3 linked regions of the Cricetulus griseus genome follow. The protein of the gene in region 2 purifies or fractionates together with the protein of the main gene of each other region. This does not show direct contact. Links are inferred from orthologs where the notes say so. Each region holds a gene or a part of one and is shown on either strand. Other genes may lie near its edges.

What was found.
Region 1: the proteins of Rnf123 (region 2) and Nfkb1 purify together in Homo sapiens (affinity purification with western blotting; 4 studies listed by BioGRID). This does not show direct contact. The link is inferred for Cricetulus griseus from reciprocal best matches to the Homo sapiens genes RNF123 and NFKB1.
Region 3: the proteins of Rnf123 (region 2) and Ubac1 purify together in Homo sapiens (affinity purification with mass spectrometry; 7 studies listed by BioGRID and IntAct, counting the BioPlex papers as one, with this or other methods). This does not show direct contact. The link is inferred for Cricetulus griseus from reciprocal best matches to the Homo sapiens genes RNF123 and UBAC1.

Annotation. Positions count from the first base shown.
Region 1 is NW_023276806.1:23,896,617-23,907,737, forward strand, and holds the end of Nfkb1 (nuclear factor NF-kappa-B p105 subunit), read left to right. Parts: intron 1-742; coding exon 743-944; intron 945-1,401; coding exon 1,402-1,571; intron 1,572-1,903; coding exon 1,904-2,006; intron 2,007-3,620; coding exon 3,621-3,745; intron 3,746-4,475; coding exon 4,476-4,542; intron 4,543-4,872; coding exon 4,873-5,045; intron 5,046-5,801; coding exon 5,802-5,979; intron 5,980-9,598; coding exon 9,599-9,759; 3' UTR 9,760-10,430; downstream 10,431-11,121.
Region 2 is NC_048597.1:216,244,821-216,252,356, forward strand, and holds the end of Rnf123 (E3 ubiquitin-protein ligase RNF123), read right to left. Parts: intron 6,693-7,536; coding exon 6,553-6,692; intron 6,453-6,552; coding exon 6,264-6,452; intron 6,193-6,263; exon of another isoform or gene 6,177-6,192; coding exon 6,101-6,176; intron 5,876-6,100; coding exon 5,791-5,875; intron 5,471-5,790; exon of another isoform or gene 4,571-5,470; coding exon of another isoform or gene 3,044-4,570; exon of another isoform or gene 2,171-3,043; coding exon 2,028-2,170; intron 1,879-2,027; coding exon 1,784-1,878; intron 1,674-1,783; coding exon 1,588-1,673; intron 1,516-1,587; coding exon 1,395-1,515; 3' UTR 1,165-1,394; downstream 1-1,164. Other genes in the region: Gmppb (mannose-1-phosphate guanyltransferase beta), read left to right, coding at 1-118, 203-281, 356-483, 567-749, 832-963; Amigo3 (amphoterin-induced protein 3), read left to right, coding at 3,044-4,570. UniProt on the Homo sapiens protein: Catalytic subunit of the KPC complex that acts as E3 ubiquitin-protein ligase. Promotes the ubiquitination and proteasome-mediated degradation of CDKN1B which is the cyclin-dependent kinase inhibitor at the G0-G1 transition of the cell cycle.
Region 3 is NC_048599.1:137,383,002-137,394,122, forward strand, and holds part of Ubac1 (ubiquitin-associated domain-containing protein 1), read right to left. Parts: intron 10,661-11,121; coding exon 10,587-10,660; intron 5,393-10,586; coding exon 5,285-5,392; intron 3,979-5,284; coding exon 3,876-3,978; intron 3,597-3,875; coding exon 3,488-3,596; intron 2,805-3,487; coding exon 2,573-2,804; intron 1,588-2,572; coding exon 1,501-1,587; intron 712-1,500; coding exon 573-711; intron 1-572.

The sequences.
Region 1 (11,121 bases), on a different chromosome or scaffold from region 2:
GTTCTTTGACAGACACTTTCATAATTGTGTTAGTCTTGCTTATTTCTGGAAACAGCTTTCCAGGCATCTCACTTGCATCCCTGGAAGCACAGTGTTGTGTTCAGAAAGACCTTTCATTACCTATTATGTATAGTAACTGGGATTGTTTTTTACCTGAGCCTTCTTAGGGAGACTGCTGTATTGTCCTAACTATGCCAATTAGAACCCAGGAACACCTTTGATGATGTTAGGTATAGCTTGTAACAGTAGGCTTCTTGAAGCCAGCCCACAGCAATGTGTTCTAATTTAGCAAATGTATTTCCATGCCACTGTAGAAGGATGGTACCTTTGTTGGTTGTTTTTTGTTTTGTTTTGTTGATGTCTATTTGCATTTCTTCATTAAAACCGCAACTCTGGTTGGATTTGCCAACATACAGAATTACCATCTGTAGATAAAAAATTAAAAAAAAAACAAAACTAAATTTGCTTCTAGGTGAATTAAAATATCAGCAATTGGACTGAGACAAAAGCAGAAGTACTAAGCATTTTAAATTTATCCTATAATTCTAACTGTTGCGTGCTGGTTCCCTCCTTGGGCCTATGAGCCTACCATGTGAAACAGGAAGCCCCTGACAAAGCCAAGAGTTAATCTGGGAGTGACAAATGGCCCTAAGTACGACTCTTGCTGCAGTGATGACTATGAAGCCAGGGGCTACAGGTGTTCACATCCAACTAGCGACTCTCCTGCCCTTTCTCTAACTAGACACCTTTGCACTTGGCCGTAATCACCAAGCAGGAAGATGTGGTGGAGGACTTGCTGAGGGTTGGGGCTGACCTGAGCCTTCTGGACCGCTGGGGTAACTCTGCTCTGCACCTGGCTGCCAGAGAAGGGCACGACAAGATCCTCAGTGTCCTGCTCAAGAACAGAAAGGCGACACTCCTTATAGACCACCCCAATGGGGAAGGTAAGGGCAGCTGCATTGCTGTATAACCTTCCCCACTCAGCTTCTCCACATTGCTTGATGCTTGATAAATGTGTGGACCTTGACCTTGACCCACAAGTGTTCTCTTGGCCAACCAGAGTTCATCCTATCTTGTGGCTATTTCTGCTGTTTACCACAACAAACTCCTTTAAGGTGATTTGGGAGCATTACTTATTAAGTGGAAAAAGCAGGCCTGAGCAAACACTGGCTTTAAACTATAGAAAGTATCATTTATGTGGAGAATGTTTATTTAGTAACTCAGTGTCTCCTGTGAGCATAATAGGAGCTTGTGAATTCTAAAAGCAGAACAGTGGGCCTTCAGAGCCTTTGAAGCATGTCCTGAACAGAAACCGGAAGTGCTGCAAGCTAGTGGCATCCCTCCTTCCCACAGTCCAGTTTTGCCAGTCCCGCCCACATCTGAATCTTTGCTTGGCCTTAGGTCTAAATGCCATTCACATAGCTGTGATGAGCAATAGCCTGCCATGTCTACTGCTGCTTGTGGCTGCTGGGGCAGAAGTCAATGCTCAGGAGCAGAAGTCTGGGCGCACAGCACTGCACCTGGCCGTGGAGTACGACAACATCTCGTTGGCTGGCTGCCTGCTTCTGGAGGTAAAGGGCATACTTGTGATCTTGAATTAAATCCCTAAGGGAATTTTAGGGAAGTCTTTTCAAAGAATGACGCCAGTGCCAGCTGTGCTGTCAGGATTCGGCCCTGCTTAGCATCTGCATGAGTTCAGAGGGGCCACTTCCTGCATCCCCAGCTCCAGCCCCTCTCTAACTGGGGACTTCTTCAATGACCAGCCAGCCCAGTGCAGCAGTGGTGCGAATGATATAACCTGAGAGAGAGGCCATGCAGATAGAGAGAGGCCACGCAGGTGGGGCGGTAGAGACAAGTGGAGACGAGGGCCTTCTGCTCACTCTTTCTTTGTGGGTGGATATAGGGCGATGCCCACGTGGACAGTACCACCTATGATGGGACTACACCGCTACATATAGCAGCTGGCAGAGGCTCCACCAGACTGGCAGCTCTTCTGAAAGCAGCAGGTAAGATGGCCTGCCGGTCACTGATGGACATGGACACCAGCCATGCAAACTCTGCCTGAGGGTGCAAAGCTAAAGCTTCCTCCTTTAGCTGCAGTTGGGCTCCTGGAAAGTGTGGGTAGAGGAGAGCTACCTGGCTGATCACACTTTGCTTACAGCAGAGGCTCTGTCTGGCCCTGTGATCCTGGGTTTACCTTGATGGCCACGTCATGAAACATTAAAGCTTGCTAGCATTCACTGCCTTTATTGTGTTCCAGGCACCGTGCTGGCCTCCCACATACACGCTCCTTTACCACACTTAATCCGAAGTAACTCTCTGAGATCAGTACTGTTGTTGTTAATCCCATTTTACTGCCAAGAAGACAGACCGGAAAGATGAGCAGGCCCTACTTGCAGTGTCCTAGACAGCTATGAGTCACAGTGCCACAGCCTGGACCTACAGACTTTTATCCTCTGCCCGGTGTTTCTTCCTAAGGCAATCTTCTAGGTAGCTCTCTAGTCCTGTAAAGCATAAGGAAATTCTCCAGCTCATCTGGTCTCCAATGCCTTGTGCTTTTGTGTTAACACATGGCTGATGAGATTGTCATTTCTGGCTTGTTGAGACATACCTAATTTACTTCAGAAGTCATTTTAGAAAAGATTTGTGGAAGGCACATTCTTCATAGATTCAAGCAAACTGAATTATATATGGATTGTGTAGTAAAGGTAGAAAAACAAAGTAAAATAAGCAACAGCCTTTTTCTCCTTAGTTAAATTGTACTTTGTTTTACCCAAGGAGCCCCAGTTGAGTACATGTGAGTCATTTTAGAAGTCAATGATTATACTTAAAAAAAAAAAAATGTCTCTTAGCCAGACATAGTGTTGTGCACCTGTAATCCCAACACTCAGGTGGCTGAAGCAGGAGAATTGCCACAAGCTTTGGCCAGTTTGGTCCATGTAGTTCTGAGCCAACCAAAGATACATACTGTTTCAGAAGTAAAAGCATAATTTACAAATGTAAAGGTTTTTACTTGAATTCACCATGAAAAGATAGCAAATATTAGCTTGTGTGATGCAAAGACAAAAAGCCCAGGCTGGCATCCTGAAGGTCACATCCTGAAGGGACCATGTGTGGCCCTCAGGACTTCAAACCCGTTTCCCCATCACACTCCTGGCCGTGTTGTGCTTACATTCTAATAGAGCAGACCAGGCTGCCGAGGGCAGCAAGACATCCAGCAGACTGGCTGTATTGAGCAAGACAGAGAAGCAGGTGAGATGTGTGCATTGGTAGATGTAGATCTGAAGATTCAGGACTTAACCCTGAAGGTGCATCCTGGTCCCTGTAAGTTGCCACCTGTACATCATTCAATGAAATACATCCTACAGAATTGCAAGTCAGAGTATTTGATGTCCTTTGTTTGTAATCATGTCCTTGGCTATAGAAAAATCCTTTGGTAGATTTTCAGTAAGAGTAGGTTAAAACTTAAAAAGCCATTTTCAATTTTACTAGAAATAAACATTAACATGTAATTGCCTCTGTGAGCTCGATGAAATTGCCCTTAGAAATGTGACTGTGTGTGCAGTTGGGAGTTGACAAGCTTTGGATTTTACATAACACCATATTGCCTGATTCCATAGGAGCAGACCCCCTGGTGGAGAACTTTGAGCCTCTCTATGACCTGGACGACTCTTGGGAGAAGGCTGGAGAGGATGAGGGAGTGGTGCCAGGTACCACACCCCTGGACATGGCTGCCAACTCTCAGGTGAGCCCTGCCCAGTTCATCTCATGGTGTTTGGGGGGAGCCGGTGGCTCAGGAGTGTTAAAAACAGATGGTCTTGTTGGCACTCTCCTCTTTAGAGAACGTGTCTTTGTATGAAGTCTGCTGAGCAAGAGGCGTATTTATCTTGAAATGCCTATCCAGGAGAGATCTAGGTCAGCTGAGGCCTGAGTGTGAAGCTGTTTGCTTAATCAGATCAGAGTTGAGATGGGAGAAGTTAGAAAAGCACAGAACCCACAGAAGAGTCACCCCTTCAGTGCACGGGACCAGAACCTTGCCATCTCCATCAGAAGCTAGCGTGAAGGGTTTCTGAGCATAAAAATAAACTAGGAATTCCTTTGTGGATTTCCATGAACACATTAAAACCCTTCCTTAAGACTCAGCAGTGGTTAAACTTAAAGGAGGAGGCAGTCACTAGGGATTTGTGCCAAGAGAAAAGAGCCAGAGGGCAGAGTACACAGTGAAGGATCTGAGACAGTCAGTTTGTATGGGTGCGACAGCGCCTCAGCTATACTGCACGCCTCCTGGGAACCTGTTTGCTGGCCTGGGTGTCCCTGCAGGGAACACAGAAGACTGACCCACCACAGTGGCCTGTGATGGTCCTAACCTGTGCACCACCAGCAGAGGAACTTCAGAGAACACCAGGGTAGCTTGTGGTTAAGGACTTTTAAACGTCATTTATGGAAATATTTTCCTATTTTCTTCTGTCTAACAGGTCTTTGACATACTGAATGGGAAACCATATGAGCCTGTGTTCACATCTGATGATGTACTACCACAAGGTGAGTTGTGGCCGAGCAGATTCTCTCAGCCAGTGTAGCCCCCACCCTCAGCCCCATGCTGTGGATTATGGGGGCGGGGTTTTGGGAATGGTTACAGGGTTTGCTACACAAGGCCCTGTTCTTATTTCAGAGTCAGAGCCCTGGGGGATGGGAAAGGGGGGAGCCTGGCCCTGATCTGATACAAGCATAGGCTGCCACTACTCAGCTGGGGCTCTGGACTTTCTAGAAGCTTCATTGCTTCCAGCAGAAGTTGGGGAGCAAAATGACAATGACGGGTCCTCTCCGACTGATTGTCCCTGGAAGGGTAAAGCCGCTGTGGTTCTTCCTTAGGAGACATGAAGCAGCTGACAGAAGACACAAGGCTGCAGCTCTACAAGCTGCTGGAGATCCCTGATCCAGACAAAAACTGGGCCACTCTGGCACAGAAGTTAGGTCTGGGGATCCTAAATAATGCTTTCCGGCTGAGTCCTGCCCCTTCTAAAACTCTGATGGACAACTACGAGGTAAGGAAGGCGCCACCTGCCATTTGTAGTTGTTTGTGTGACTGTTCGTGGTTGACCACTAGCATCACTGACCAGGGCACAATCCCTCCTCTATGAAGTAATTCTGAGGAAGAAAGCCAGCCATCGCCTAGGGCGCTGGGAGGCAAAAGGGACCCAGGGTAGGATGGAAGCCTGTCTTCCTGAGAAGACTGGCCACCTGCCTCTAGACATGCCCTGTTTCCACGTCCTCAGAGCCTTCCTGCACAAAATGCTACTGACCACACAACGGGGACCTAAGCTCTGATCGGTGTGCACAGCCCCTGTTTCCAAGAGGGGGACCCAGGGCCATGGGTTCATGAGGTGACTCCTATTGGAACAATTCTAAACCAAAAAGGAGAAAACCATGGGGAGATTATTGTGCATGAGGCTGTCCTTGTTAGCCACTGTCTTCCCTGACTTCTGAGCCCAGATGTCACTGCAAGCAGTCTCCCTACGTCAGTAAACTCACAAGCTTCTCTCTCTCCTGCCCCTCTTTTCTTTCCCTATCTTTCATCCTCCTCTCCATCTCCCTCTCCTCTCCCTCTCCATCTCTCCTGTGATTTCCTGAGTGATTTTTGGTCCAAGATGGGAAATAGAACTTAAACACTGTATTTCCTCGGGTACTCCTCTCTCTGCACTCCCCAGACCCACCAGGCTCTCTGGAGCAGACACAGGGAAGAAGGGATAGATGTCTGCGAAGGGGCTGGAACACGAACATACTCTCCATTTTCCTACCAGGTCTCTGGGGGCACCATCAAAGAGCTGATGGAGGCCCTGCGACAGATGGGCTACACAGAGGCCATTGAAGTGATCCAGGCAGACTTCTGCACCCCGGAAACCACAGCCTCCAGCCCTGTGACCACTGCTCAGGCCCACATGCTGCCTCTCTCATCTTCTTCCACAAGGCAGCACTTAGGTAAAGAGGCTGAGAAATCTCCTTTGCTCTGTGATGTGGCGCTACAGTTCCTTTTCCCAGTCTTTTCCTGGACACATCATCCCCTGTGGCACGCCACTCGCTCCCCACCATGCTCCCATGCACATGAAGGGGCCTTTCCCAAAGACACTCACATCGGTACATGGGTCACTGGCATTCTTATTAAACATTGGATGTTGGGGTTGAAGAAACACTATTGCTCATATCTGTTAAATTTAAAGAGACTCTCTAAAGGTTTAAAGAGAGATGAATAGCCCTGCGTTCACAAGACAAGGGACAGCACCCAGGCAATATGCATAAAGTATGACCGTTTCTTCCATGCCACCCTCCCTCAGCTCCTCCACCCTTCCACCAGCCGTCTCCTTCAGCTGCCGTCCGCACTCATGGTCCTGACTCATTTGCCCACATTAACAGTGCCACCTGTCATTCCCCCAAAACATAAATTTGTAGGATTGGAGCTCAGTATAGACCACGAACCCTGTCTTTCTTACCATTTTGTTATTCTACCTTATTCAGACCATTTTATGCTTTCTCTAAACTCAACACCCCTTTCTTCCTGCTCACCTTGTATGCCACAAGACTCCATTAAAAACAAAAAACTAACAAAAAAAACAGAAACAATTAGCAGTCTCTCATCTTTGCACCATGCCAGTACCCACATGGGAGACCTTCCATCTGGGCTCAGTAGGCTGTGTGACTGCCCTCTACCTGGGGACCTCCCTCTCATCTCCAGCAGGTCCTGGCTCCCTGATTCTTGCCTCTTGTTCTGTGTTGCCAGTTCCTCCCCCGCCTGATGTGGGAACCTCGTTATCAGGCTGTAATTTTCTCAACCTTAAAGAGCATAAGTTTAGAGATAATAAAACATCACTTCCTTTTACATTCCTTAGCTGGGTCCAAGCCTCTCAGAAGAATAGTTTTAAAGTTTCTACCCACCTCGTCACCTCTGGCCACTTCTTGACCCCTTGGGCCTGGTTCTGTCCCCACCACTCTCCTCATATGACCTCACATGTCCCAGACGAGCCACCATCTGCTCATGATGTTGATGTGTCAGTCGTGGCTGATGGTGCTCCTCAGTGTCCACTCAGGGCTTTTCAGCAGCACGTGCACTGTGCCGCCTCCCCTCACTGCTCTTTACTGGCAGGCCCAGTCCTACACATGCTTCTCTGCAGAGTGTGTGCATGTGTGAGCTTCGTGCGTGCGTGCGTGCGTGTGTGTCTGTGTGTTCGCTTGGTCTCCTTATGGCATTTCTGTACACTTAGTCCTGGTTTTTCCTCTCACCACTCCCTCTTCCACCCTCCAGCCGCCCATGCCCCACTCCTGTCCTCCCTTGTACCCTTCCTCCCCAATCTTTCACTTCCACTTTCACCTGTGTTCTATTACCCTCCCTACACTGTTCCCTCCTTTTAAAGCCCCCCAAAGACCCCTTCGTAGTTTCCTGGCCGCTACCCATATTTACTCCCACATAAATACACATGTGGCCTTTGGAAGCTAGGATCTCTGGCTTACCTTGATTAGTGTTTTCCAATTCCACCCATTTCCCTGCAGATTGCATCTTTCTTGATGGCTGAATAAATCCTATTATCTGCACACAACTCTTTAGTCTTCACAAACTCATATTGGCCACATCTGTCAAAAGTATAGCCCTCCTCCAGACGAAGACAAAATCTAAGAGTTGCCATGAACATTTTCTGGTGCTCAACACCTGTTCAGCCCAGCAAGTTCCCTTCTCTTTGTGACAGCTGCCCCGTCCAGCCCATCCTCACTCATTTCTTGCCTGAGCTCTGGCAGTGGCTGTTTCTTTGCTGACTCCCTCCCTCCATCTGTTCTCTGCACCACAGTGATGTGACAAAATGGGGCTCCTATCATGATTAAAAAGTAAATACTTAGCAGCCAGGACGGTGGCAAATGTGACAGCCTGACTTTCTCCTCCAGTGTCTTTGAAAAAGCCAGAAGGATGACAAATACCTGTAACCCCAGTTGCCCAAGCCTGGAGCAAGAAGGGACAGCAAGGGAGGTGGATCCTTGGGGCTCATTGGTTAGTCAGAAAAGACAAGATGGAGAGTAGTCAAGGCAGTCACCCGATGTGAACTCCACACATGTACACACACCTCAGAAGGAGGAAAGATTGGTTTGGGCTCACAGTCTATAGGTCCCATGGTCTGTTGCCTTCAGATATGGCAACCCCTTCATTGTGGACGAAGCACATGGTAGAGGAATCCTGTCACTTCAGGGTGTTCGGAAAGCACACAGAGATGGGGAGGAGCCAGAGCCCAGTATCTGTTTCCAGGCCACACCCCCAGTGACCTAACTTCCTTCTTTTGAGGCCCTACCTTCAAAAAGTTGTACTCCCACCATATGTCACAGGCTACTAACAGGCCTTTTCTTAACACAGCTTTTGGTGTTATTTTAAGATCCAAACCATAATAAACATCAAGCCTTTAAAATACTCCACAGTCTCTATTACGTAACAGATAACAAAGACTATTGATTGGAGTTAGCACCAGGACAACACCACGGTATTGTCATTGAAGTCTCAGTTCTGGTGTTAAGATTCAATGATGAGAATCAAGCATTTGCTTAGTGTGTGTTAGGTTTCTGTTTCCTTAGTCCCTCTGTACAGAGACTAATCTGCTCTGGTCAGGTCCCAAGGATGCTTTCCAACAAACAGAATTTAAGTTTTTAGTATAGACACATTTTTTACAAAATAGTTTCATTTTCTCACACCAAGAAAATTCTAGGCAATGTGTGTTATTTAATAGCTCATACAGCCCAAAGAGAGATCTCATTTTTAGCTCCTACTTCTGTTATGAATTTATTTTGTCATATGTTCAGCAGTTTTCCTGGCTATAAAAAACTAATAGAGCAGTTAGAAAAATATGCCTTGTTTCTAAGGGGAAAATATGTATATTCTGAATCAAGAGAAATCAGAAAGGATTCCAACAAACAGAAGTCGAGATTTCAAAAGAAAGATGTCCTCTTGGCCAACTCTGACTACAGCAGTTTTTGTTTTTAATGTCATTTGCTATCTCATGCCCTTCATGCCGCTGTAAGCAACGCTGTTGAGCATGGGTGGCCAGGTGGGCTGCAGTGGCTGATGGAAGCTAGCAAACACATCCCTCTGTACAGCTGTCCACAGAAGATCTAGGTCAGGGAGCTCCACTGCTGTAGAAGGTGGGGGTTGGTTTTATTATAATGCTGTGATAAAACACTCTGACCAAAAGTAACTTAGAGGAAAGGGGTTTATTTCAGCTTACAGCTTACCATCCATCATAGAGGGAAGTCAGGGCTGGAACTCTAAATCAGAAACCATGGTGGACTGCTGCTTGCTGCCTCACTGGTTCATGCTTTCCTAGCTTTCTTACACAGCCCAGGACCACCTCTCAGGAAGGGATGCGGTCTATAGTAGGTAGGCCATCTTACCTCAGTTAACAACGGAGACAGCCCCACTCAGGCATGCCCCCGGACCAGTGTCGTCTGGGCAGTTCCTCCCTTGAGACTCTCTTCAGTTCACAGTTGGAGATGATGACTAGGACAGTGGGGAAGAACAACGGCATTGCCTTGGCCCAGCCAAGCCACCAATGAATTTGTGCTTTCTCCACAGATGAGCTCCAGGACAGTGACAGCATCTGTGACAGTGGTGTGGAGACATCCTTCCGCAAACTCAGCTTTACAGAGTCTCTGCCTGGAGACAGCTCACTGCTATCTCTGAACAAAATGCCCCACAATTATGGGCAGGAAGGACCTATAGAAGGCAAAATTTAGCCTGCTGGCCATTTCCCACACTGTGTAAACCAAAGCCTGAAATTCCATTGCATCAATCCAGAGGAGGAAGGCAGAGTGAATCCAAAGGTGCTGGAGGATTACCGGCCCACCGGGTCATTCTTGATTTCATTCAAGGCCTTCCGAATTTGGCTTCCTTTCTGGGTTCTAAAATGAACTTTAGTTGTCACATTCAGATGGTATCTAGCAATCACAGCACTCAGCTGTGGCTTGGGGTATGGTGGCTTGAGCTTTTCCAGCTGCTCCTGGATTACACTTGCTTTGTGTTGTTGCTGCTGTCCCTCTGCTGGGTCCCTGCTGTCATTAAAAGGTATCACTGTCCCCACCTGGTGTTCTTTCTAGCCATCTACAGTACAGTTGTGCATTCAAATTAAGGTTAAGGAAAAAGATATTTTTAAATGAGTACCTTGATGAGTAATAAAAAAAGATTGCTTTTTCTAATGTGGTTTATCTGTGATTTTAGAAAAACACATGAACTTAACAATATTTAAAAGATGCTACAATCCATGCTGAGAATATTATTTCCCCTTCTGCATTTTACTATTGTAAATATGTTTTCTAAATCAAATACTTTAAAAGAAAAATGTTGGATTTATAAATGCTATTTTTTATTTTACTTTTATAATAAAAGGACAAGCACATTGTTGACCTCATCTTGTCTGATCTCTGCAAATACTTTTTCAGAGGAACCCCTGAAACTGGGATCAATCCATAGCCTATGTATCACAGCTGCTTCTCCCTGTAACTGGGATCAGTGATCCTTTAGACATGTTTTTTAAGCTAAAAATGTACAAAAAAAAAAAGACAAATGTGGGAAGAAATATTATAACACAAGACTGAAGTTGAATCTGGCAAATTCTGGCCCAGGAAACCTCATTTTGACACATGGCATCGACATTTTCCATTCTATACATTATCTCTCCAGTGTTTTCTTTCTGTGTCTGCAGTGTTTAACATATTGAAACTTCTGCATGTCATCTCCTGAACACTGTGGCCATTGCATTCATGAACATACAAAAATTGCGGCTGGCTGCACAAAACCTGTGCAAGATGTGGCCCTTCAGCCTATACAGGGAGGGACTCCTGAATGCCATCCGCACACACAAGTAACAACTGGCCATTAATGGCTGCTAGGGAAGTGAGGGGTCATTTCTTTGATGGTGCAGCTCCTGGTACCCTGCCCATGCCTCAGTAAATGGCCCCCTACCATTTACTGGCTCATACAAGTGTCCCTAATTAAACTAAGTTACACATAACACAAACATAAAGGAATGAAAGCAGAGGGGGTTTCAATGGGAGTAGGAAAACAAGAGAGGACAATGTGTGTGTATCTGATTTACTACA
Region 2 (7,536 bases):
TTGTGAGGCTGACACAGGCCGCATTCACCGTTTTGTTGAGAAGCCGCAGGTATTCGTGTCCAATAAGATCAATGCAGGCATGTACATCCTGAGCCCCTCTGTGCTGCAGCGTATCCAGGTGTGTAGTGGAGAACTGCCGGGTAGGCTGGGGGGGGGCAGGCCTCTGCTGAATGACTTGCTCACAAGTTGCCCACTTCCACAGCTGAAGCCTACATCCATTGAGAAGGAGGTCTTCCCAGTTATGGCCCAGGAGGGGCAGCTATATGCCATGGAACTTCCTGGTGAGGCAGAGAGGCCATAGGGTGAGGGGTCGTCTGTGGCTAGGCAGAGCCCTCTGACTCATCTCTCCCTCCAGGCTTCTGGATGGACATTGGACAGCCCAAGGACTTCCTCACTGGCATGTGCCTCTTCCTGCAGTCCCTGAGACAGAAGCACCCAGAGAGACTGTGTTCAGGCCCTGGCATTGTGGGGAATGTGCTTGTGGTGAGGCCCTTGCCCAGCCTGTCACTAATCCTTTCAGATTTGGGAGACAAATGACCCACTCTGACTTTCCTCACCACTCTCAGGACCCAAGCGCCCGTATTGGTCAGAACTGCAGCATTGGCCCCAATGTGAGTCTGGGTCCCGGTGTGGTGGTGGAGGACGGCGTGTGTGTCCGGCGGTGCACGGTGCTTCGGGATGCGCACATCCGCTCCCACTCCTGGCTTGAGTCGTGCATCGTGGGCTGGCGCTGCCGTGTGGGTCAGTGGGTAAGTCTGTGAGCTGAGCTGGATGAGGACACGAGCAGGGAACCTGTGTGCTCCACTGACAAGACTTGCTTCCCCACCCCAGGTGCGCATGGAGAACGTAACAGTGCTGGGCGAGGATGTCATTGTCAGTGATGAACTCTACCTCAATGGAGCCAGCGTGCTGCCCCACAAGTCTATCGGGGAGTCGGTGCCGGAGCCTCGTATTATCATGTGAAGGATATGCAGGGCTGGCCAAGCCCCCTTCACCATCACTCAACACCTCAGCAGACCCTGGACTTGGCGCCGTCTGTCTAGGGAGGGATGGAGAAATCCGAAGCTGTTGGACATGTGCCTTCTGATGGGGACAGAAACTGACAGGATCCTGCTGGGCATAACCCACAAGCCCTACTCCCTCAAGAAGAGCTGGGGCCAGGGCTGTATGGAATAATAATTTAATGCTCACTGTGGCCTGGATTGCAAGTCAAGCTCAGGCATAATTAGGGCCATGGCTGGGCTGCCACCATTGAGGCTACACACGGGCAGATGGGTGGAGATGGTAAGAGTGAGGGTGATGGGGGAAAGGCCAAGAGAGCTCATAAATAGGGCTCAGTCTGGGTCTGATGGTGGAGGCTCCAGGACGGTGCAAGCTGTGTGCATCGGGCTGGCCTAGGTAGCTGAGGAGGCGGCACTTGTGCTGGCTGCCTTGTCCCAGTCCTCTACGGATGCAATGGTGGCTTTGCAGAAGAAGCAGTCCTTGTTGTTCATCAGGTGCTGGTTGATGCAGGCTCTACAGGAGGAAGGGGAGTGAGCACTGCCTTGTGTGGCCTAGTTGCCACCCCAAGTCCATGTGCCCACTTACTTGCAGGATTTGTGGCCACAAGGCTGGAACACAGCAGAAATGGGGTGGGCATAGCAGATTGGGCAGAGGTCCTCTTCACTGGTGGGCTACGGGATGGAGAGTGAAGAGTGGGTTGGGGCTATGCCTGTACCTACCCTGGTGTATACGGATGTATTAAAATGGCATGGGCCGGCCTGTGTGTCTTAGCCCCACTCACCAGGGAGGCAGCAGCTGCCTGGGCCGACGCAGCTGTCAGGTGTGCCAGCATCTGCTCCACCTGGGCGAGCTCCTCTGCACTGATGTAGTCTGTGTCTGGGTTAGTGGTAGGTGGTGTCAGGCCCCTCCTAGGCCCAGAGCTCAGTGCCTCTTGGATACTCCCAGGCAGGAAATTTGCTATTCCTGAGGATCCTGAGCTCAGGAGACCCTGAAACTCTTTCCTGACCCAACCCTGACCCACTTACAGCTCTGTAGAGAGAAGCGCTTCCGGTCAGGGGCGGGCAAGGCAGTGCCAGGTGCTAGGGGCTCTGGCTGCCCCAGGAGGTAGCATATGGACCGGAGCTGGAAGCAGGGATCAGCCAGGAGCACAGAGGTGGCTTGCTCTGTCCTAGATGGGAAGGTGCAGAGGCAGTGGGGAAGCTGTGAGCCTGTGTGGACATTGTCTCCATGGGGGAGGGGGTGACGTCCAATCCAGAGGCCTCATTATTATGCCTGCATTCTTTACATCTTGTTGTTTACCAACCCTCTGAAGTCCTGGGTCCCAGTAGGTCCAGAACGGCCTATTACCAGTTTAAAGGGAAGAGGTGTTGTTGATGGCTCATAGGGGAAAGCTGCTTGCTACCAAATGTCACAACTTGAATGTGATCCCCAGGAACCACAGAATGGAAGAAAAAAACCACTCCCACCAATTGTCTTCTGACTTTCTGCATGACACCTCCCCACACACACCAACACACAAGTAAATCTAAAGGGAGAAGGGTGCGGATTCCACCTAACCTAATATACATTAATCCTTCAAAATCACTTAGAGAACATTAGCCACAAAAAACTTTCTCCCCAGACTTAAGCTCTTTTGCTCTTAAATAGGGAGGAAGTCAGGCTTCCAGCCAAGCGAACTGAAGACACTGGGGCCCTCTGGTGGTCACACTGGGTCTTCGAGTGCCAGGGCTGCCCCGCCCCTTAGCAGTAGGAGCCAATGGGAGCTTGGGTCCCCACCCCTGGGCAGTCACTTCCTAGTGAGTACTTAGAATCCAGTCAGAAAAGCGTTTGAAGAAGCTAGCGAGCTTAAAGAAGGGCTGGGGCCCCACCTCACAACCCCAGACCAGAAGAGCAGGAGGCAGCTGGGCCGGTGGAGCCGGCATTGTGCCTCTCAAGCCATGGGCCACAGGGAACCACAACCCGCAAGGCTGTAGAGAAGTGGGTGAGTCCCGGAGCTGTGGACAGCACTGAGCCCCCCATCTCTTCCCTGGTGGCCACTGCCATGGCCGGGCTGGTGGTGCCAGGCATACTGCTGTGCATGCTGAGTGCTGGGTCAGGCACCTCAGATCTGGAGGCCGCTCTGCCCCCTGCTCCCCACGACTGCCCCAATAACTGCATCTGTGCTGCCGATGTGTTAAGCTGCGCTGGCCATGGCTTACAGGACGTGCCGGTAGCATTGCCTGCCACGGCTGCAGAACTCGATTTAAGCCACAATGCACTCGAACGCCTGCACCCTGGCTGGTTAGCACCCCTCTCCCGGCTTCGTGCCCTGTACCTAGGCTACAATAAATTGGATGTGCTGGGCCATGGTGTCTTCACCAATGCCAGTGGCCTCAGGACACTTGACTTATCGTCTAATATGTTGAGGATACTCCACACGCATGACCTGGATGGACTGGGGGGGCTGGAGAGATTGCTCCTGTTCAATAACAAACTGGTGCACTTGGACCCGGATGCCTTCCAGGGCCTGAGGATGCTCAGACACCTCTATCTCAGCTGCAATGAACTCGCCTCTTTTTCTTTCAATGGTCTGCATGGTCTGGGGACCACCCACCTGCGCACTCTAGACCTATCCTCCAACTGGCTGGGACACATCTCCGTCTCCGGGTTGGCTGCACTGCCAGCTTTCCTCAAGAATGGGCTCTACCTGCACAACAACCCACTGCCCTGTGACTGCCGCCTCTACCACCTGCTCCAGCGCTGGCACCAGCGGGGTCTAAGTGCCCTGCGTGATTTTGCACGTGAGTACACATGCTTGGCCTTCAAGGTCTCAGAGTCCCGAGTGCGCTTCTTTGAGCACAGCCGGGTGTTTGAGAACTGCTCAGCTACTGCAGCTCTAGGCTTAGAACTGCCTGAAAAGCAGCTGGACACACAGGTGGGGCAGTCCCTGAGGCTCTACTGCAACACCAGCGTGCCCGCTGCACGAGTGGCCTGGGTTTCACCGAAAAATGAGCTGCTTGTGGCACCAGGATCTCAGGATGGCAGCATTGCTGTGTTGGCTGACGGCAGCTTAGCGATAGGCAGGGTGCAAGAGCAACATGCGGGCATCTTTGTGTGCCTGGCAACTGGGCCCCGCCTGCACCACAACCAGACACTAGAGTTCAATGTGAGTGTACATAAACCTCGCCCTGAGCCAGAGGCTTTCAACACAGGCTTCACCACATTGCTGGGCTGTATCGTGGGCCTGGTGCTGGTATTGCTCTACTTGTTTGCACCACCCTGTCGTGGCTGCTGTCACTGTTGCCGGCGGGCCTGCCGTAACTGCTGCTGGCCCCGAGCCCCCAGTCCACTCCAGGAGCTGAGTGCACAGTCCTCAGTGCTCAGCACTACACCACCAGACGCACCCAGCCGCAAGGCCAGTGTCCACAAGCATGTGGTCTTCCTGGAGCCGGGCAAGAAAGGTCTCAATGGCCGTGTGCAGCTAGCTGTAGCTGAAGACTTCGATCTGAGCAACCCCATGGAGTTGCAGTTCAAGGTTGGCTCCGAGTCAGCCAGTTCCACAGGCTCAGAGGGTCTCATGATGACCTAGACCGCCTGGGTGTCCCCACACTGGCCATAGACCTGCTGCTGCTTGCCTGGTTCACTGATGCAGTCTAGAGAACTGACAGATGCTGGTGGGATGCACTGTGCCTGCTCCTAACTGCACGTGAGCCTTGACCTGTCCTGGGACCGTTCTACTCACTGGTAAAGGGACTGAGGCTCCCCCACTTGCCTCCTGCTCTGTCTGGCTCAGGATAAGGCCTCAGACCACTAGAGCCTGCTTCCCCTAGGATCTCTGAGTGACCAAACGTCCCATGAAGATTAGGGACCAAGACCATCTGGTAAGAGCCCTTGCATTAGAGCTCTGGGACCACCTCAGGAATTGATGCAGATGTTATAGGCGTGGTATAGACGTGGTATAGACGTCAAGCATACCACCTTCCCTTCCTTGCCAGGGAGCTCACCAAGGAGGGAGAAGGCAGCTCAGAAGATCCAGCTCCCACTCTAGGATGGGAGGAATAAATGAGCCCTTCCTGTGCTGCAAGAGAACCCTGTCTATTACCACCATCCAGCCTCCGGAAAGCTCTACAACTCCTGTGGAGTCTGGTGGGCATGCATGACTCTTTCAGGACACTCCCGCAAGAGTAGCCCTGCTGTCTTCAGCCAAAGGTAGAGCCAATCCCATGGGCTCATAACCCAGCAGGAAAAAGCCTGGTGAACACGGCTAATCTGGGACTCATGTCCCTGGAGAGCAGAAGGCCTCTGAAGGACTGGTACTTATCTCAGCCTAATGGCTAAAGCAGTGTCCTGAACTCACATGCCTCTACCACTCCTGCAGGCAGTTAGGGAAGAAGGTCGGAGCCCCTCCCAGGAGGAGCTGGCAGCCCCGTGTGTGTCCTAGATGACTATCAAGGCACTTTGTAATAAAGATGGTACGTGTTCATTGCCAGGCCTTCCCAGATGGGTAGCTTTGTGTGCTCGGCTCTTGATCCAGCAGGGTGGCCCTGACCATCAGAGGATGGCACATCTTCCAAGTTTTGGCATTTATGCCCCTGCCAGAGGCATGGCTGCAAGCTAATCCTACCCAGCCAAAGCAGCTGCTGTTACCACCTGCTCACACCTCACCGTCTACCTTTGCCTCAGTGTCCCAAACTAGATTCTGAGGTCCATTTTGAGACGGAGAAACATGTACACTGAGTCCCTGCCCTATGAGCCCCTCCTCAAAGGGCACACCCAGTTCCCATGGGGCCAACAGTCCCCAACACTCACTCTGAGGCTGGACCATGCACCAGGAGGCGTACCAGGATGCCGGTCACTGCCACCAGGATAGGGTAGTGGTCCACACTCTCCAGGCCTGAGGGGAGGGAAGGAAGATGAAGTACTCATGTGGTTCCTGCTGTGGCAGCAGCTCGAGTCCTGCCCGACACCACTGGCCCTTCCCACCATTCTTCCTACATAGAGGCAAACTGAGGCTGGGAGTGCAACAGTCCTGGTACCGAATGGAGAATCTAGCACTGTTGCTCCTGGCATAGAAACTAAGGCCTTGGTGTGCTGAGGTGCAGGGCATCTAGATCCTTACCAGGAAGCCGTAGGGTGACTACACGGTCAAACAGGTTCCTCTCAGCTGTCACCCGGTTCAGCACCTGGTTCAGCAGCTGTGAGGGCAGGAGCCTATTGGTGGATGGCAAGCGCACCACTTGAGCCATCCCCGGGTCCTACCCTCCTTGCCCAGATGGACACACCTGTGCAAGACGCCGAAGCAGCATCTCAGAGGTAGGACGGGACCAGTCAAGGAATATCTCAGGCACCAGTGTGATGGTCATTTCCAAGACTCGCAACAAGCTAACCGAGAGGTCAAAGCAGGTGGCACAGACCTTGAGCTGCCGGCTGTCCACAAAGTTTCGCTCTAGGCGTTCAGCAGCCTGTTGAATCTAAGTCACCAACAGAAAGGCAGGTAGCAGTCAGAGAGGCCTTGCAACAGTGCTTGGCCTTGGCCTCTGCCCACCCCTACCCCAACACACCATAGCCCACCTCCTGGATCATGCCGATGAACTCAGAGAAGGCCCAGTTAAGCTGGTTAAGGACACTGTTGAGGAAGCTAGGTGCTACATCAGGGCCTTGTCGTAGAAGATCTGCCATGTGCTGCTGTAGCAGGGTGGAAGGGCAGGGCTCTGGGGGCAGAAGAAAGCCACATTACCAGGGACCTCCAGACAGGAAGCCCCTGCCTGTCATACACTGGAACAGAGGTGTAAGAACAAAAGGATGGCTCTCTAAGAAGGTTCCGATCATGAAAGGAGAGGACTGGCACAGAACTGCTTGGAAGTTAGGAGCAAGCATGCCTCCCTTCCTCCTGCTGAGCAAGCCACCACACCCCACAAGCCCAGAGCAGCCAGACAGCTGTTGGCCCCACGTGAAGCAAATTCTGAATCATATGCCTGCCTGCCTGCCTGCCGGCAAGTGTCAGATATACACAATGAAGACCATTCCCACCAGTATCAAGGCTAGCTTCTGCAAGAGCCCAGATTGGGCCCTGCTGTCCTCTGCTGCCCTTGGCCTGGCCTTGGCATATGGCTTAGGTGGTGAGTGCCAAGTCTGGGCTGGAAGGGCAGCAGTAACCAGAGCTCTCAGCTGCAGCTGGCCCAACGTACCTCTCCACCCCTCTGATCAAATCAATAGTCCCTGCACACAGGGGCGGCATCTGCCCCCACCACCCTCCCCACTTCAGTTCAGTTCCGTCCTAGAGTCTAGACAAGGCATTTAGCAAGGACTTGCTCCGTGAGTCTGCACAAGACTTTTGGCCACTCTGGGAACACCCAGAGACCAAGGCGCTGGCTGCCAGGGCAGAAACTTTGGTGAGGGAAGTGAGGAATGTGGCAAGCCCTCTGCAAGCTGCACAGCTCAAGGTCTTGGCCAGGCTCAGGTGAAAACCCTTGGGCTAATGAGACAGCACAGCTTCCTCTGCTAGCCAAATCTGAAGCCCACTTTGGGTCCTGATCAGTTTCTAGTTTGTGATCC
Region 3 (11,121 bases), on a different chromosome or scaffold from region 2:
CTGGCAAACTCACACAAGGATCTGTCTACCTCTGCCTACTGAATGCAGGGATTAAAGGTGTGTGCCACCACCACCTGGCAGATTTTTAATATATATCATAAGTAAAAATAGCCGGGCATTGGTGGTGCATGCCTTTAATTCCAGAACTTGGGAGGCCGGGGCAGGCAGATCTCCGTGAGTTCGAGGCCAGCCTGGTCTACAGAGTGAGTGCCAGGACAGGTTCCAAAGTTACACAGAGAAACCCTGTCTCAAAAAACAAAAAAACGAAACAAGTAAAATAATTTTCAGAGAAGTGCCTTATAAATAATAAGGAAAGCTGAAACACACCATCTCAGCTACTATCCCCATGCAGGCCACTGCTCTGCAAAAACCCATCCCACCAAGACGGAGCCTAACTTCCAGGGACCAGGCTTTAAGCAGCACAGCTAAAATGCCTAAAAATGTCTTGCAGTAGTCAACTGGCATGGCACATTAGCAGGGCCCAAACCATCTCACTAGCACCTGTGTCTTGTGGCAGGGAACCCATCCACCATGTGTCCCCTACCCAAGCTGGCCTAAGTAGACACACGTACCTAGCAATGTCTTAGGGTTTGTCAAACCCAATTGCACCACTGGGTTGTCCAGGATTGCCTGAAAGAGAGGGCTATTTGGATCGATGCCCTGGTCCAACTCCTCAGGGGATGGCTTCCGGTCCCCTAGCAGCCATTCACACTAAAAACCCAAGAACATCAGAGGAGCCATTAGTACCTTCTCAAAGTACCTGAGGCTTACCTTTCCCTTTCTGTGGTTCTCCACAAGCCTCCACTGCTGCAGTACCAGGAAGGGGCCCTAACATGAACAAACCTGGTCCACATTCAGCCAGGATAGAAACAGAAGGAAGCATCAACCAGACGTTTTTAGCAGACCTGGCGTTGCAATTCAATTTGACATGACCTTGGTCACAACACAGTCCCTAACACTGGCTTTACTTGAGGGAACCCCATTATGACAATATCTCTCCACAGCTAATGAGCTTGGAAAGTCTGCATGCAGAACTGCGTCTCAGTTATCTGAGCCTCAACTCCACACACAAGTGAGGAGGTCACAGTCCTCCCTGGACAGAGAGACTGGCAACAGCTGCTATGTGTTCATGGCATGGTATTCAATCTTTTCTGTTTGTTTGTTTTGTTTCTTTGAGACAAGGTTTCTCTGTGTAGCCCTGGCTGGCCCTGAACTCAAAGACCCGCCCGCCTCTGCCTCACAAGCGCTGAGACTGAAGGTGTGCACCAAGACACCCATCCTATGGAATTTGATCTTATAACAGTTAAAAAACCCACACAAAAGGCATTGTGGGTACAGGATTTTCTCAGTTTCTGTTTGAAACATCTGCCCTAAGTATTTCACATAATAATAAGTACCATCACCAACTATGTATGGAAATCCCAACACAAGGGACGTTCCCACTGCCACATGAGGTAAAGGCAACATTAGATGCTCAGAGTGGGATTGGCTGGCACTCACAGCTGCATTCTGCTGGTTGTTGTTCACTCGGAGTGCATCAATCACTTCCTTCTCATCAAAGCCCATCTCCATCAGTGAAATGACAGCCTAAGAGGGAAGAACAAGCTGGTCAGCACCTCACCAGAGGACACCGCCCACCAAGGAGCATTACCATATGCAGTACAGGTTTGTTTCAGTCAGTCACAGGCAGTGGATAACACTTAGCACACATGAGGTAGGAAAGGGCACTGGGACCCTTGCTTAAATTAAAGCAAGGGCAAAGCATGAAATGTTTTGTCTCTACAGCCAAGGACAGAAGTCAGAGCCTTGGAAGTGCATTGGTACTGCACATGACTATACCAGGGCAGCTGACTAAATACAGGCCCTAGCTCACCATTCTCCTCAGTCCTGCAAGAGTCAAGTCCCCATTTATCTCTAGAATCTCTTGACCTGGCCAATGGACTGCTAAGGAAAATACAAGCCACAGACAAGGCCCTGAGAAAACCATGTATTCAACATGCCAAAATCTGGAGAGCAAGTAGTGTGAGCCCTGAGTGGGAAGATCTGTACCTGAAGGAAAGTGAAAGATCAAAGGAAGAATTAAAACCCCAGCAAAGAACAGGACAGGGAATAAAGAACACAAAGACAAGAGAGCATCAGCCTGTGGTAATGATGAGGTGGGGCCATGAGTGTGCATTTGTGGCAACTGAGGGAGGGTGGACAAGTATCCTGGATCCTGGGTCCTTATCCCAGTAGCCAGCCAGCATAATGGACTCCCACAACATGTTCCTCCAGCTCTCTGGATACTGCCCACCAGTCCAAAGGCCACAACAACAGCTGCAGGAGCACACTTGTGACAGACAGAAGCTTGCACACTCAGATTTTCAGGAGATGTCACTGAGCAGAAAGAAGTCAACTGGACCCAAACATGAATTATATAATATATAATTATGAAATATATAATGTATATATATGATTCAAGTCTGCCCAAGTTTCAATGGGAACTCCCATCCCACCCAGACTCCTGGCCTCCCAGCTTCCTTGCACAACACAACCACAAAGTCAACCTCATGCTGAGGCCCCCATTACCTACCCGAGCATCGGCTCGGAATTCCCTTTTCCTTCGGATCTTCTTGAAGATTTCTGTGAGCTCATCCCGGACTTCCTCATCTCCAGCGCTAGTTCCCACAGCAGCTTCAGGAGAGGTGGAGGTGGTAGCTGCAGCACCTGCCCCTGCTTGGGGGTCGTGGCCTGGAAGAGGTGTGTCAATAGCTGGATCTTCGGAGTGTTCAATTAACCACTCCATGGCCTGAGGCACTGACATGCTGAAAAGAGACGATTCTTCTCAACTCCCCCAGGACAGTCATTAGAGACTTTCCTATCCCATATGCTCCAACAACATGTGTTTCAACAGAGACAACAAGAATAGCAGCAGCAACAGTGGCAGATGATCTCTTGGGATGGAAACCTCCACATAGCCCTTACCTTGAACTCCCAAGACCCAACAAAGCAAGCACAGACATGTACCCCAAACAAAGGGACAAAGGAGTCTAGGTCCTAGGTCCACAGCACAAAGAACACAACGATTAACCAGCTCTAGCCTACAGCATTCATATGGGACCTGAGTAACTGAAACCAGAAGTGTTAAGAAGACTATGAAAGAACTCCTGTCCAGACCAGGGGCAAGTTTGGCTTAGAGCTCTCCTAACTTGAAGGTGCAGGGCACATTTACAGACTGATTTTTTGGCTCTCTTAACAGCCAGGTATGGTGGTTCACACCTTTAGTCCCAGCTACTCAGGAGCCTGAAGCAAAAGGATTGCATGAATCCAGGAGTTCAAGACCAGCATAGGTAACAGAGATCCTCAACACACACACACACACACACACACACACACACACACTTAAAATAAACAATAAAAAAAGTATGATTCCATCAGAGTTTGGGAGGGGGAATCACAGGGAAGCCCAGGCCAAGTTCCAAAAAGGGAAGAAAGAGAGCATACTGACTGGTTCAGCCGAAGGGCCTTTGAGGCTCTGCTCTCAGGAAAGCCCATTTCTGTGAGCTGCCGTAAGGCAGTCTCATCCACTCGCTCATCCTCATCTTCATCCAGCATAGCTGAGAAAAAAGAGAAAACCTGTCATGAGGGGATTCCTAAGCCCTTTGAAGCTCCGTAGTCTCAACTGCAAAGGCTCTTAGCAATTACTGATGCCACAGAAAACTCAGGCCCTAACATCAGCTCTTACACATTAGGAATGGCCACACAACAGGCCAGGAGCCACACACACCCACCCCATAATCAACTGAAAGCAGAACCTGCTTTCAATGTGAGGGCTGGGGACACATTCTGAGGCTTGAGCAGACAGTTGGCGGGTGCAGGCTAGGACCCACTCATACCATTTGCCTTCTTAAACAATTCAACTGCATCAGGATTCAGTGCTAACAGCTTCTGTGCCACCTCAATGAGAGACACCAAGATCTTCCGGAGTTCGGTCTGGAACTGTAGTAGAATGAAGAAAGAGATCATGCCTGGCACAGTGATGCACACCTGTAATCCCTGCTCTTGCAAGGCTGAGGCAGGAAGACTGCTGGGAGTTTGAGGCCAACCTAAGCTATACGGTGAAACCCTGTCTCAAAAAGAAAGAAAGAAAGAAAGAAAAGATCATTTCTCTGAATGTCCAACAAACCTAATTAGATCTGCAACTCTACCCCTGAACATAGCCCTCCAAATCTATGAGAGCATTTGGCCTTCACCTTTAATCCCAGCACCTGGATGGCAGAGGCAGACAGATGTGAATTCAAGGCCATCCTGATCTACAATGAGACTCTGTCTCAATAACAGACTGGCGACATCAGAGACTCCTTACCTCCACTCTAGCACCAGTCCCCTGCCTGATACTGGGCCTGGAGGTGGGACATTACAAGCCTAAAGCCTCCTGAGACCCTATCCAGGGTTGGACCCACAGAAACCAGAGAGGGACACATGTGCCAGCCACTGCAGAAGAATTACAAAGCTCTTATCAAATGGAACTCTTTGGGGCTGGAGAGATGGCTCAGAGGTTAAGAAGACTGGCTGCTCTTTCAAAGGTCTTGAGTTCAATTCCCAGCAACCACATGATGGCTCACAACCATCTAAAATGAGATCTGGCGCCCTCTTCTGGTCTGCAGAGACACATGCAGACAGAACACTGTATACATAATAAATAAATAAATCTTAAAAAAAAAAAAAAAAATGGAACTCTTCAAAAAAGACCCCAGAGAGGTTCGGCTTCCAGCAGTACCAGTATGGATCCAGAACTGATAAAGCTGAATGCTGGCCACTTTCCACAATTCCTGCATACAGAAGCATACTTTATCATGGACTAACCCACGTTAGCATGCTGTAGGCTTCTGACTTAGTTTTCTTGTCCAAAGTAATTGGGGAGCTCAGATTCCTCCCTGGAAGCTTTGTTGAATTCAGAGCAAAGTCACTGCATTTCCCTACAGCTGTCTGTCCAGGGCTATAGATATCTCGTCAACTTTGTAGTTTGAAAAAAAAAAAATGTAATTTATAGAAGAGTCCAAAAGTAGTAAAGAGTTCCTGAACATTCTGTTTCAGATTCCCTTTTTTTTGTTTTTTTTTGGGGGGGAGGATGGGGGTGGGATGAGGGGATGACTATAACATCCATGTTAGCCTCAAACCTGAGCTCAAGCCATCCTCCTGCCTCAGCGTCCTGAATGTCACCACACCAACCCCAAGCACTTTTAAAGAACTTCTTGTTATCCCACAGGACATGCCCCCAGTTCCACACCAGGCAGGTACTCACGTCTCTCATGGTGGTTTGAACTGCAGTCCGGTCTGTGCTACAAGCAGGCAGGTTGGCTGTTGCCCGGAGGATAGCATCTTTGTCTGGAGCCTTCTGCTCTTGTTTCTTCTGAAGAGAAAATGATTCAAGTCAGAAAGGAAGAACCCAAGAACATGAGGAGTATGACAACAAACTTGGACCAACAGCCCACATGGAGAACAGTAACCTCCTAAGCTTTAGCTGTGATGATGCCCTTGAGCTAGAAGATTCTGGGAAGTTTCGGGCACCGCATTAGAGGCAGAAGCCTAACAAGATGCTTAGGACATGATCTCACGTGCTATAAACCATATGCAGGTGAAGACAGAGAGGTTGAGGCTGCAGGAGTGGCAGTCCTGTAGTACTTTGGTGGAGCTGGGGCTGAGGCCTCCAGGGCTGTAGTGAAGCCTCCACGAATGAAAGGAAAGGATGAAGGTGGCAGAAGCTCACAGATAAGGAAGACAGGAGAGAAAATCAAACCAGCAGAGGAAGCAGCACTTGGCATGTTCAGAAGGCACAAGAAGGCACACACAGGATGCAAAGAGCCCACAGGATGCAAAGAGCCCACAGGATGCAAAGAGCCCACAGGACACAGCCTACTAAGATGCAACCTACTCAAGAGCACTGGGATACTGGTGCCAGAAAAGACAGGCCTGGGATCCAAGAGCCAGAATGATACTTGTACCTACTGGCCTTGGCCAACAACAGTCTGGTGAAACCTGAGAGCCTAGAGTGAGAGGCTGTTCTGAAGAGAGGGAGGGAAAAGAGGGAAGGGGAGAACCTTCCAGCACCCTGCTACTGCTTTGCTTCCTGTTCACCCCAGCTACTCACAAAATCATCAAACCAACCAGAATAGGTGAGACTGAGGAGTAGGATGGGTGCAACAAGTTCTCTACCCCAGAGAGCTCAGCAGCTGGCACAAGCCATATAGCTTCCAGGGCTCGCAGAGGCTAGGGGTGTAAGGAGGTAGTGAGGAGGAAGAGGAGGACGAACAGGTAAGGAAAGTGGGTACCTCACTACCTGCAAACCAGAGCCACACCAACCCAGCTTGTCCACACCAGGCAAGAGCCAAAACAGCAAGGTAAAGGGGTTACAAGAGCTAGTTCCAGGACGGCCTCCAAAGTCACAGAGAAACCCTGTCTCGAAAAACAAACAAAACAAAACAAAACAAAAAAAAAAAGAAATTCCATAACTCCTCAGGGCACAGGGATCTCAGGTTTCTGTCAGACTGGAGCAGGAAAAGGAGTTGGTTACAGAAGCCAAACTGTAAAGGCCAAAGTAAAACTGTCAGTTCAGATCAGATGTGGAACACCAAGCCTGAAGACCAAGATGAGTCACGTTCCACCTACCCCTGTGAAATGGTTAATCTTCACAGTCAACTGTGGGTTGAGAGAAGTTAGTAAAGCACACCTGTGGTATGCCTGAGAGGGTGCTTCCAATGAGAATTAGCTCTTGAGAAAAAAAAAATATTTCCCTGCCCCTAGCTCTGGCTGTCTTGGAGCTCACTCTGTAGACCAGGCTGGCCTCGAATTCAGAGATCCAACTGCCTGCTTCCCCAGGACTGGGATTAAAGGCGTGTGCCACACCAAGCCTAAGGAACTGTCAGCTGCATGAAAGCGATCTCCCACAACCTCAGAAAGGAATGCACAAGAGTCAGCTGAGCCTTCTGTCCTCACAAGCCTTAGTACTGAACCTCTGAAACTGTAAGCAAGTCTTCCCAGTTAATTGTTTCCTTTATAAGAGTTGCAGTGGTCATTGTGTACAGTCCCTGGTACAGAAGCTGGTACCAGGGACTGGGGTATTGCTGTGATAGGCCTAACCATGTGCTTGGAAGAATTTGGACTGTGGTACTTTGGGTTTGAAAAGTAGTGGACTCCTTGAGCACTGCTTAATAGGCCATACTAGTAGGAACATGGAAGACAGTGGTGTTAAGTTATTTGAACTTTGGGAGGCTCACTCCATAGAAGAATTTTCTAACTCTGAGTGAGAATTTTTGAATTCTCACTCAGAGAAGAATTTTAGTATGTTGCCTAGAGATATTCTCATGATATTTTGGTGAAGGAAGTGGCTGCCTTTTGCCCTTGTCCAAAGAGTCTGCCTGGGGCTTAAGTGAAGAGTTTTGGATTAATTCCACTGGCAGAAGAAATCTCAAAATATCTTAGTATAGATTCTGTCATATGGATATTAGTGTTAACTCTAATGAAGATATGTAATAAAGAGGAGCAAGCTGAGCAAGGAAAAAATATTTGAGGAGAAAAAGGGCACCAGAAAGTGGAATGGAACTAAATCCTCTGTTCAAGGAGATAAATGGATTAAGAAATGGAATAAAGGGGGTGGTGACCTCAGGGCAAGATCCCACCCAGCTAAGTTTCCAACTTGTGAGATGAAACTGAAGAAAAGTTTAGAGCTAGGGGTGGTGGGACACACCTTTAATCCCAGTACTACGAAGGCAGAGGCTGTGGGGAGGAAGAGCTCTGAGTTTTAGGCCAGCCTGGTCTAGAGATCCAGTTTCAGGACAGCCAAGCTTAGGCAGTGAAAGACAGAAAGCTGGCGAAGATGTAATTAAACAAGGGGGTCATGTTCCAGCCCCAGTAAGCAGCAGAACTTGGCAGCTTTGGCCATACGGTTCTGGCTTTAGAATTAAGGATATAAGAAAGGAGTGATAGAATAAAGCCACTAAGGCCAGGCATGTGTCAGGGGTGTCCCTGAATGGAGGCCCAGAGAGGCCACTGCCTGAAGAGGTGAAGTGAAAGCCTGTATTGCCTTTAAAAAACCCAAGATGTCAGAGATGCCAGACTCGTGGGATACCTGCCAAGGAGAGCTGCTGACAGGGAGTAGAAACAGCCCAAAAGAAAGAAGTTTGCTGTGGTAAACAAAGCTGAACAAAGTTGGAGATCTGAAGAGCATTTGGACATCAAACATGGAGCTGCAGAGTTTGGAGTTTGCCCAGGTGGTTTTTGGTCTTGCTTTTGTCTAGTATTTCCTCGTTATGCTCCCTTCCCAGCCTTTTGGAATGGTGATGTATATTCTGTGCCATTGTATGTTGGAAATATGTGATCTGATTTCTTAATTTGATTTTTACAGGGGGATTATAATTAAGGAGATTGCCAGGTAAGCAGAAAAGACTTTGGACTTTGAAACAAGTTTGAGACTGTTATAGACTAGGGGGACTCTTGAAGTTGGACTGAGTGCACTTTTTGCATTATGATATGACTATAAGCCCTTGGGGGCCAAGGGAGTGGACTGTGGTAGTTTGAAAGAAAATGGCACCCAAAAGGAGTGGCACTGTTAGAATGTGGCTTGTTGAAGGAAGTGTGTCACTATGGGGGCGGGCTTTGAGGTCTGTTTGAGGGAAAACAGTCAGTTGACTTCCTGTTGCCCGTAAGATGCAGGACTTTCAGCTGCTCCAGCACCACGTCTGCCTGCATTCTGCCATGCTCCCCATCATGATGATAATGGACTGAACCTCTGAAACTGTAAGCGAACCACCCCAATTAAAAGTTTTATTTGTAAGAGTTGTCGCGGTCATGGTGTCTCTTCACAGCAATAAAAACCCAAACTAGAACAGTAAGTAAACACTAAATAGACTTCACCCAACCTTCTATTATCACTGGAGGGAAGGAGGCTAGGAGGGGAGCTATATCCTTATCACTAAGAAGCCATAATCCAACACTGGTAATGGCAGAAAGAGAATGAATGCAGAGTATCTAGAAAGCAGGGAGAGAACTGCCAAGGGTAACAGCTGGAAGACTAGAGGCGTTCTGGGGTGGGTTTCAGTGGCAAGCATAAGACAGCTAGATCTGTCCCCAACACTTACAAATAGTTATGAATGACTTCCTTTAGGAAATGTGAGTCCAGCATGATATTTTTTTGTTAGATTTTTAGTACTCTTTTAACTCTTAATAATTGCATTGTTTTTTACTTAGAATTTTCAATAATGCTATGGTGTTTCACTCTGTAGTTATATACTAAGTTAAGGCAGCTCTAGCAAGCTACTAGCTAGGTACTCTGAGTAAGTACCCTAATTAAGTACCCTAAGCAAGCAGCAGGCCACACAGTTAGAGGTCAGAACTATGTTCTTAATAGTTACAGGGACTTCAAGTCTAAACGCTAGAACTGTAATCTGAGCTCGCCATCAGCTCTGGAAAGCAGGGGGTGGCCCAGGATCTGTCTTGTGAAGATGGATGGAGCAGCCTGCCCATTTGCTGCCTGACTGTACCCACACCCACACCACCATGGCCAGGTGGCCAAAGATAAGGAGGGCGTGAAGCCCAGGCACTCTCCTATATCCCTGGACCCAGAAGAGACTCCAAAATAGCTCATCTGCTATGGGGCCATGAATCCAGCCCAAGAGTTGGCCTGATCCTTCCTTCCCTGAGATCAACACTCTCCCTGGCATTTCAAAGCATATATTAGAAAGTCCAGACCCCTGAAACAGGAAAAGGTGTTAAACAAAGGTGACTGCCCTTTAAAAGAGCACATCCTGGGACTGTAGAGACAGCTCAGCAGTTAAGACTGCTTGCTGCTCTTCCACAGGACCTACGTCCAGTTCCCAGCACCCACTTCAGGAGGCTCACAACCATCTGTAACTCTAGCCCCAGGGCGTTAGATATCCTCTCTGGCCTCTGCAGGCATAGAAACATAGACTTGCACAAATATACAAATAAAAATTTAAAAATTAATCTTTAAAATATCCTTTCTGCCCACCAGGCACAGGTATGTGATCTAGTGCTGAGACAGGCTACTCACAGGATGTATCTTGCACTGCCTAAGAGAACCTTGCTGGAGGATAGGCTCTGGAGCAGCCCCTACACAAGTAACAAAGTGGGTAGTGTTCCTACGGCCCCAGATCACCCTCTAACATGGACTCCAGGACATCAACCTTGACGTTAACTACAAGAACACACCCAGGCCTATCCAGGTGCACAGCTGCTTGTCCACTCTGCATGCCTGTTCTCTATGTGCAGACATCTAGCTACAGCTGTCTACACTACTCTTCTGGGAGAAGGGGAAAGACAAGAGCACAGGAGTCACACGAGAAAGCAGCACAGGAGGAAGCACCACTAAGGATGATGCCCTCACTCTTCCCCTGCTTCCAGACCAGTGGCAGCTCTTCTGTCACTAGACACCAATCACAAACACACTCAAAGCAGAACAGGCTCGGCCATGATGAAGGACCCCTTAGAGCACACATTTGTGGAGAGACTATATAGGCCCAGGAAGTCTGAAGAACAAGAAATAACTACCAGTGAAGAGAAGAGCACTAGTTCCAAACTTTGAAACTTACCTTTTCTTCTGCTGAGACATCAGCCATCTTAGGAAGTGGGGAAGGAGCACGCTTTTTTATCAGTAACAAGACATCTAGAAAAAAATTTAACAGTTATCTCTATGAAGTCAGTTATCATTTCATAGCCATAAATGACACAAAAGGTATCAGACAGAAGTTAGGGAGGATAGCTCAGTGGCTTAAGGGCTCTCTATACATGAGTGACAACTGGAGTTCAGATCCCCAGGACCACATAAATGACAGGTGGGCAGGGCAGTCTATCCATAATTGTAGTACTTTAGAGGCAGAGACAAGAAATCCCCAAAGCAAATTGGCTAGCCAGAATAGGCATGTAGACAAGTTCCAGGTTCAGAAAGATGCCCTGCCTCAATGAATAAAGTCATGTAAACCCCAGACCTCCACATGCGTATTTATACATGTACACACATCTTTGCATGAACACATGTACACACCACAAGAATGGTGCTAGATGCTTAATGTCAGAAAGCAGGGTTTCCTCTGGGTCCCTCCTAAGCCAAGCCAGCTCTCCCTCCTC